2 linked regions of the Callithrix jacchus genome follow. The protein of the gene in region 1 interacts with the protein of each later gene in a biochemical or structural test. Links are inferred from orthologs where the notes say so. Each region holds a gene or a part of one and is shown on either strand. Other genes may lie near its edges.

The links.
Region 2: the proteins of FKBP4 (region 1) and GLMN form a complex in vitro, tested with the Homo sapiens proteins (2 studies listed by BioGRID). The link is inferred for Callithrix jacchus from reciprocal best matches to the Homo sapiens genes FKBP4 and GLMN.

What each region holds. Positions count from the first base shown.
Region 1 is NC_133510.1:16,108,945-16,113,473, forward strand, and holds the start of FKBP4 (peptidyl-prolyl cis-trans isomerase FKBP4), read left to right. Parts: upstream 1-1,624; 5' UTR 1,625-1,768; coding exon 1,769-1,873; intron 1,874-2,541; exon of another isoform or gene 2,542-3,553; intron 3,554-3,723; coding exon 3,724-3,868; intron 3,869-4,306; coding exon 4,307-4,449; intron 4,450-4,529. UniProt on the Homo sapiens protein: Immunophilin protein with PPIase and co-chaperone activities. Component of steroid receptors heterocomplexes through interaction with heat-shock protein 90 (HSP90).
Region 2 is NC_133508.1:130,015,219-130,019,029, forward strand, and holds part of GLMN (glomulin), read right to left. Parts: intron 3,749-3,811; coding exon 3,626-3,748; intron 2,161-3,625; coding exon 2,052-2,160; intron 1,036-2,051; coding exon 798-1,035; intron 1-797.

The sequences.
Region 1 (4,529 bases):
TCACCTAAAGAGACATCTTCATTGTGGCTCTCAACTCATGTGGGCTGTAAATTGCTGGAGAGAAGCGCTTTTTCTTATGCATTCCTTTCAAGTTCCCTCGGCAGGGACTACAATGAACCATCGCGTTATGACGCTGAAAAGTTCATCTCTAAAAAGCGATCCTAATTTAGTTTGATGAGCCTGACGGCGTCCCAACAGCGAAGTGCCGGGCACATAAACGGATGTCCAAAAATATAATTATTATAGGAATAAAAATTCACGCTGGGTGCAGTGGCTCACGCCTGTAATCCCAGCACTTTGGGAGGCCGAGGAGGGCGGATCATTTGAGACCAGGAGTTTGAGACCAGCCTGGGCAACATGGCGAAAGCCCGTCTCTACTAAAAATACAAAAATTAGCCGGCGTGGTGGCGCGCGCCCGTAGTCCCAGCTACTCGGGAGGCTGAGGCAGGAGAAATGCTTGAACCCGGGAGGTGGAGGTTGCAGTGAGCCGAGATCGCGCCACTGCGCTCCAGCCTGGCGCCTGGTGACAGAGTGAGACTCTGTCTCAAAAAAAAAAAAAAAAAAAAGAAAAGAAAAAAGAAAAGAAAAAATCAGCCAAGACTTGGAAAAAGAAATAAAAAAGGAAACTTCATGCAACCAGTTACAACTGGGCACCACTCACCAGATACTACACTAAGCTGGGGTTAGGTGCTGAGCAAAACCAGGCTCCTCTCTAGATGGCTCTCTAGGTCCCACGACCATGGCTTTGGTGACACCGGTAGCTGCGCGCTCCACAGGCTGTCAAGAAACACTCAGGAAACAAACATTGAAAATACTCCGTCTGTGGGCCTTTAGGAAAACCGAGTGACTTTTTTCGGGAGGGGAACCCATCCTTGTAAGCATTCGCGGAAACGGCAGTTTCATTACCGCGAGGAAGGGTCCCCTGAGTGCGTGCCCCGTGTGAGTCCCAAGCTGGACGGCCATGCCCTGCCACCCCGTTCCTTGCAGCATCTGCAGGCGCGGGAGGAGGCACTGCTGCCCAGCTGGGGCTTTCCGACTTTGGGGAAATTGAGGTTGCTTTCCCTGGCTCTGCGCAGCGGGGCAGCGCTGTCCACTCACTTCCCCGCCCACACGCCCTTGCCCTTTTTCCCCCAGGTAGGCAAGGGTCTACGCGGGTCATAACGGGAAGGCCACGCCGCCCATGGTGAAAGCTGCTCCCGGGGAGGGCGTGCCGCCGCTGCCATCTGGCTGCCCGCGCTTCCCACACCCCGCCGCGGGCGCAGCGGACTAGTGGAGTAAAGTCAGGAGATCGATCGAGAAGAATCTGGAAGAATCCGGTTAGACAGGGAAGCGGCCGGGGGTGGGAGGGAGGAAAGGCCAGGGGAGATCCCGAGTCCGAGGGTCCCAGGAGAGGGGAAGGGGTGCCGGCAACCAGCAGGAGGCAAGAACAAGGAGAAAAAAAAAAATCCGAAGCGCCCGCAGCCCGAGCCCGAACGGGATCAGCCCCGCAGTCTCTAGAAAGTTCTGCACCCCGCCCGCTCTGTCCGCTCTCCGGCTCCTCCCAGCCCCTCCCTCGCGGCGGGGCGGGACCAATCGCTCCCCGAGCCGCTCCTGACCCACCTACCCCCGCTCCCGCGCCGCGAGCAGAGGTGCTCCAGTCTCTGAGCGGTCCGCAGTTAGCGCCGTGGCGCCTGGCCTCCCGCACGCTCCGCAGGTAGTACCCCCACCGGCTACCCAGAGTGCGCTCGCGCCGGCGCCAGCTCCCGGAGAAACGGCTCGCCGCCCGGAGATGACAGCCGAGGAGATGAAGGCGACCGAGAACGGGGCGCAGTCCGCGCCGCTGCCGGTGGAGGGAGTGGACATAAGCCCCAAACAGGACGAAGGCGTGCTGAAGGTGAGGGAAGGCGGGGTCTGCGGGGGCGACCGAACCCCGGGCCCGGCGGGCCACCCTTCCGCCAAGCCGGGAGCCCGCGGCCGGGCGCGGGTCGAGGCGGCCGCCTCTGCAACCTTGTGGCGGTTTCGCCGGGGGCCGGTGGCATCGCCGTCCCGGACCGTGATGCGTCGTTTGGGGCACTGAGGGTGGCCACGCGCTCGGCAGGGGGCGGCCTAGGTGAGCCGGCCGAGGCCCCAGGCTCCCTATCCCGCGGCGCCCGGGCCCGGCAGGGGGTCGGGATTGCAGCGCCCACCTCGGCGCGCGCAGGGCGGCGGAGAGGGGCGGGGCGGCCGCCGCGGGCGCTCCAGCTGCAGCCAGGGGCCAGGCCGGGCTGCTCCCACGCCGCGCCGCCCCCTATCCCCCGGGCTGCCTTGTAGGTGGCGGTGCCAGGGCTGGCCCACCCCGGCTGTGGAACATAGGCCAGGACGGGGAGCGACTCCCCACAGTGCTTTCCTGGCCTGGAGGCCTTTGTGTGACGCAAGCGCGACAGGGTTCTGGCGCCCTCCTGGTGTCCCCTGCCGACACCGGGACCCTGCGAGGTCCCCAACTCTCCGCGCCCCCTCCCTCGCCCCCCCGGGGAGGCCGAGCGCGGGGAATGCCGGGAGCTGTAGTTCCCCCCCCCCCGCGCCGCCTCCCGGAGCCCGTCTGCGGGGTGTGGGGTGGGGAGGAGGCGCTCTGCTGTGGAGCCCGCGGCCGAGTGACCGCTCGACTACAAATAGCCTGGGGAGCTGGGTGGAGGGCATCTTGACCTGGGCCAGGACAACCTGCCATGGGTCGGAGCAGGTTCTGGGGAGAGTCCGGAGATGGTGAACTCGCAGCTCGCATCTTATGCCCTCTCCCTATCCGCTGCTCCTCCTCATCCTGGCTTCCCACCGTTGAGCTCCGCGTGTGCGGCACCCGTCTCAGGGGGCCTTTACCTGGTCCAGAAGTGCATCTGGCTTGGCACCAGATAACTGGGGACCTCGAGTGCCTGATCCAGCGACTGTCCTGTGGCATGTGGCTTCCCCTTCTCGCTCCAGCGTCCTGCTGTTTTCTATGAGATTGTTATTCTAGGAAGGATCATTTCCCCCTTTGATCCGCCATTCCTTCCCTTTTACCTTTCTACTCCTCAAGGCCCCTTTCCGTTCTTCATGGAAGCTTTCCCTTAGAGGGTAACCACACACCTACCAGGTGGCGCTAAAGAAGCCTGTAGTTGCTGGGAAATACTCCAGCCTGGACTTAATCAGGAATACTCAGCTCCGAAGTCAGAGTTCAAGGCCCCAGGGAGAGCCTCCGGGTTCACCTATAACCTGGTTTCTTCCTTACCTGTTTTGAACTGTTTCTTTTCTCTTCACTTATACTCCTCTCTTTCTCCTGTCTCCAAACCAGACCCTGATCTGATGACCACTGGCATGAAGGAAGGAGGAGGAAGTATGGCATAAATACTTCCCCATTTGCCGATGATAATAATAATCTATTATTCAGCCCTTTACTGGTCTAATCTTCCAACAGCTGTAGGAGATAGGGATCATCATCACTGCTTTACAAATAAGGTGTGGAGAGTTTTAAGAACTTATCCATACACCAGAAACTTGAACTCAGATCTCTCAGTCTTTTGTCTCTTTTTCAAACCAAGTCTTGCTGCACCTCAAGAAAGACAAGGTTAGTTGACTCCTAGGCTAAGCTGCTAGTAACCGAATCTGGAGGGACAAGTAGGCAGAGGAGGATGGACACAGAGAGCTTCATTTATGTTCCTGGAGGCTTGCAGACAGTGTTGGTGCCCCTTTCCGCCCCCACCCCTGGGGTACTCACTTTCTCCCCCTTCCTCCCAGGTCATCAAGAGAGAGGGCACAGGTACAGAGATGCCCATGATTGGGGACCGAGTCTTTGTCCACTACACTGGCTGGCTGTTAGATGGCACAAAGTTTGACTCCAGTCTGGATCGCAAGGACAAATTCTCCTTTGACCTGGGAAAAGGTAGGCGTGGTCAGTGGGCTGGCAGGATAGGTTTGAGGTGGACACAAACTGTCACAAGCAGAAACCATTTTCTCAGGACCAGGCTCAGGGAGGAGTGGTTTATCACACTCTGTTACTCTTTCTGTCACTCTTTTCCTTCTACCGATCTGTAACTATATTGATCTATGTCTTCTCTTCTCATCACCTCCCAGCACCTTACTCCAGCTTCAAAGGTGGACTGTCTTGCATCTTAAAACTCTTTTTTTCAGGGTCAGGTGATCTTTTAAGAGTTCTGAGACCTGGTAACACTTAATGCAACCAGGTATCTCACCTTCTGGTCCCATTTCTAAAGGATGTCCAGCTTCCCCGTGAGTGTGGTTCAGTAACTCTCCAGGAGCACTGTGTGAGCCCAGAATCAGAACCCTGCTAAGGTGATCCTGTTTGCCTCTATATCTGCAGGGGAGGTCATCAAGGCTTGGGACATTGCCATAGCAACCATGAAAGTTGGGGAGGTGTGCCACATCACCTGCAAACCAGAATATGCCTACGGTTCAGCAGGCAGTCCTCCAAAGATCCCCCCCAATGCCACGCTTGTGTTTGAGGTGAGTGTCCAGCCACTGAGATCCAGGCTAAAAGCCAGGCCTTATCTCAGCCCAATGCCTGGCTGCTCTCCAGCCCTTCC
Region 2 (3,811 bases), on another chromosome or scaffold:
ACCAGCCGTATGTCAAGTGCTACAGCCATATCAAACAGTACATGTTTAGTCTATAGTACCCATGGAGGAAATGCTGTTGGGTGGATATGTTATTACTATTTTTGTGGTCAAGTTGGATGTTCTGTCTGGTGGTCCTTCTGCTGCTTTCTTTGAAAGTGTACAAAACACCTTCTCCACAGAGCTACATATATGTATTTCCCACACTTACCCTAAGCTATATGTATCTATTTCCTTTGCTTTCATTATTCACTTACTATAATGAATAAAGGCAATACATAGAAGAATATCAAGTAAATGAATGGATTTTGGTTTTATAACTATTGTATTAATTAATTAATGTTTTAGAGACAGGATCTTACTCTGCTGCTCAGGCTGGAGTGCAGTGGCACGATCATCATTCATTGCAGCCTCATCTCCTGGACTCAACCCATCCTCTAGCCTCAGCTTCCCAAGTAGTAGGACTACAGGCATATGCCGCTACATCTAGCTAATTTAGAGATGGGGGTTTCACTATGCTGCCAAGGCTGGTCTCAAATTCCTGGTCCCAAGCAATCCTCTCACCTCAGTCTCCCATATTGATGGAATTACATGTGTGAGCCACTATACCTGGCCTATACTTTTTTTAAATATAAATGTCTCAAGTTACCATGCTGTATCAGTTGAACCCCATATGCTTCTAAAATTCAAAATCTGAAACTAGATTTCTATTTATATGTCAAACAAGGTGAAGAAACATAAAACAACTGAACTATCAATTATTTAAGTCCATTATGAGATGTTCTTAAAAATATACTTACAATTTCAGTAATTCATCCTTTAACTTTTCATTTTCCAGTGAGTTTTCTTTGTTATCAATGACTTCTTCCACAAAAGGCTTAATAAACTCTATTAAGGCCTTGCAACACTGACAAAGGCCATAGTCATCCATTTGTATTTGTTCTTTTGAGTATGGAACAGGAAGAAGAGATAGCTGATTCCAAAGGGTAGACAATGCTAATCCAATTGAATATGCTTTGTTATGAAGTTTCTGAATCACTAAAACAGAGATCAAGTTGTCACTCTTCAAGTATGCTAAACATGAGACAAGAAATTCAGCAAATGTGGAATTATAAGACACTTCCTCCTCCCACGTTTGAACAAGTCTTGAAATCAAGATGGCACATCACAGTTTAACTGGCAGTGTTTTTTCTTCTCCGTTGTGCATAAAATAATAGAGCACCTTGCCATGAAATGTTTAGGTTATAACAGACTATTTACTTAAGACAGAAACATGTTCTTACCATGTTTTTTGGTTGCTGTAAACACAAGATATGAGTGTACTGTAAACTACAGAGCACTACACAAATAGGAGGTGGTGTTATTCAATTTTTTTTTTTCTAGTAGACTGAATATTACAGGTGGTATGAAGCTGGTAGGCATTCATATTTAAAGCAAATTTAATTTCTGATTCACAATCTGATAGGTCCCTCTAACAGATTGTGAGATTCACATATTTCCTGAAAAATAACCTCTTCCCATGGATACTCTCTGTCTTGGTTGCCAAGACCTATTACTTACCAATATTATTACTATACTCAGCCATGGAGTCTTCTCCTACATCTTCTAATTTCATTCTTCAGCATTACCTTTGCTATGTCCAATCCAACCTCCCAATGCAGAGGCTGAGCAATGCCCTGCCTGATACTCTTCTGGACTACCATAATGCTATCAGATTTAGTACTGTAGACACCACAGAGGTATCCTTTAAATATGTTTAAAGGGAAAATTCTAGATTTAAGCAGCAGATAGGAAGGTTAGGCAAAAAGGTGTAGGTTTCAATGTAGCACACAAAAAATACAATGACATTCAACAGAGTATTTATAGGGTACTCACTCCGGCCAGATACTGTAATTTTTCTATGAGCAGCAGGATTCACATTGGCCTTGCTAATGTGAATTAGCAAGAGTACTAATTAGCTGTAAACTTTACTTTGGTGTAGTATTGATATTTTCGTGTAACCATCAAGGCACTTAGAGATACAAGAAGTACTCTGATATCAAAATTCTCATTACCTGTCTGTAATGGCTGAAGCAAAAGAAGAATACTTTGGGATATCTGCTTTCCAGAGGGCTCTTCAATCAGTTCAAGCAAACCCAACAATAATTCCTTTGGACTGCATAACTATAAAAATATTCACAATTGAACCTGTTTAATACAAGTTGTATTTAAAGCCACATTATTACTATTTTTAAGAAGGCACATATTGGCAAAATGTTATACAATTATTTTTTTGCTTAACAGTAAAATTATTTATACAATTGTTTAAAAATATGCACTAGCAAAACACAGAATCTATGATGGTCAAAACTATAAAAGTAAAAAGAAATAAGAAGTCAACGGATCTTTAAGCTCCTGTTTCCTTTGAGCTTCACCTGTCTACTCTGGAAGTTGCCTTAATAGAGTCCCAGGGACTCCACCAGGTGGTACCTTTCAATCCCATGCTGTAAGTCCTTTGAGCTTCACCTGTCTACTCTGGAAGTTGCCTTAATAGAGTCCCAGGGACTCCACCACGTGGTACCTTTCAATCCCATGCTGTAAGTCCTTTGAGCTTCACCTATCTACTCTGGAGGTTGCCTTAATAGATTCCCAGGGACTCCACCAGGTGGTACCTTTCAAACCCATGCTGTAAGTCCTTGGAGTTTCACCTGTCTACTCTGGAGGTTGCCTTAATTGATTCCCAGGGACTCCACCAGGTGGTACCTTTCAATCCCATGCTGTAAGTCCTTTGAGTTTCACCTGTATACTCTGGAAGTTGCCTTAATAGATTCCCAGGGACTCCACCAGGCGGGACCTCCCAAACCCATGCTGTAAGCACAGACTAGTCCAGAATCTCTTTTGTATTTCTTGAACAGGTAAAACTCTGCATTGCTTTCTAACTGGCCATATCTTAACATCTCATTTACCTGGTTTTTTAAAAGCTCCCAGCTCCCGCAGTCAATAATTCATACAGATGGAGCTCTTTCCAAATATATATTTGGGTATATTTGCACTGATCACTAAGCAGTTTCTTATAATATCCTTTTTCTCAGAATTAATCTTTCTTAGCCATCGATATTGACTTTAAACTCTACTAGACTTTTACCAAGGGTCTCTAAGGTTGTTAGTCACAACTGCTCTGTGTACTACCCCCTATTCCTACTTCCATTTTAATCATTTGCATTTTAGGCTTTCCATTTTCTTTTAGGGAACATACCACAAAGGCAAGAGGACTGAGATTTTATTCTAGATCCAATGTTGCCGAAAGATAAATGTAGCCTTGAACTACCTCTAAACCTTGTGTTCCACATCTATACAATAAGGCTACTTGTTAAAATACAGCTTCCCAGGTCTCTCCCTGGAGATGCTGAATCAATGGGTCTGATATGAGGTTAATATGAGGTTAGACAATTTTTATATCCAGAAAATTTGGGAAATCTTGAAATGGAATTGCCTATCCAATCAATAAGACAGAGTCTTTTCTCCAATGAGTTCCTTTCTGCATGTACTTCCATAAACCAAAAGCTTTTTACCAAACAATAAACATTAAAGGGAATTATACAACATTGCTGTGTGTTATGACAAAGAGAACCTGGTTTTGTTAACCTACCTTTACCAATATATCAAGGATCAAAAAATAAACTTTTCTTTTATCATCATCCTCTCTTTCTTTCCACAAAAGGCATCGAACGACAGGCCCAACAAGATTCCAGCCCATATTCTTGATGATGACCTGTAAAAACATTTTCAAAATAGAGCAAACACTGCCATCTATAGGACTCTAACAGTGTGCTTT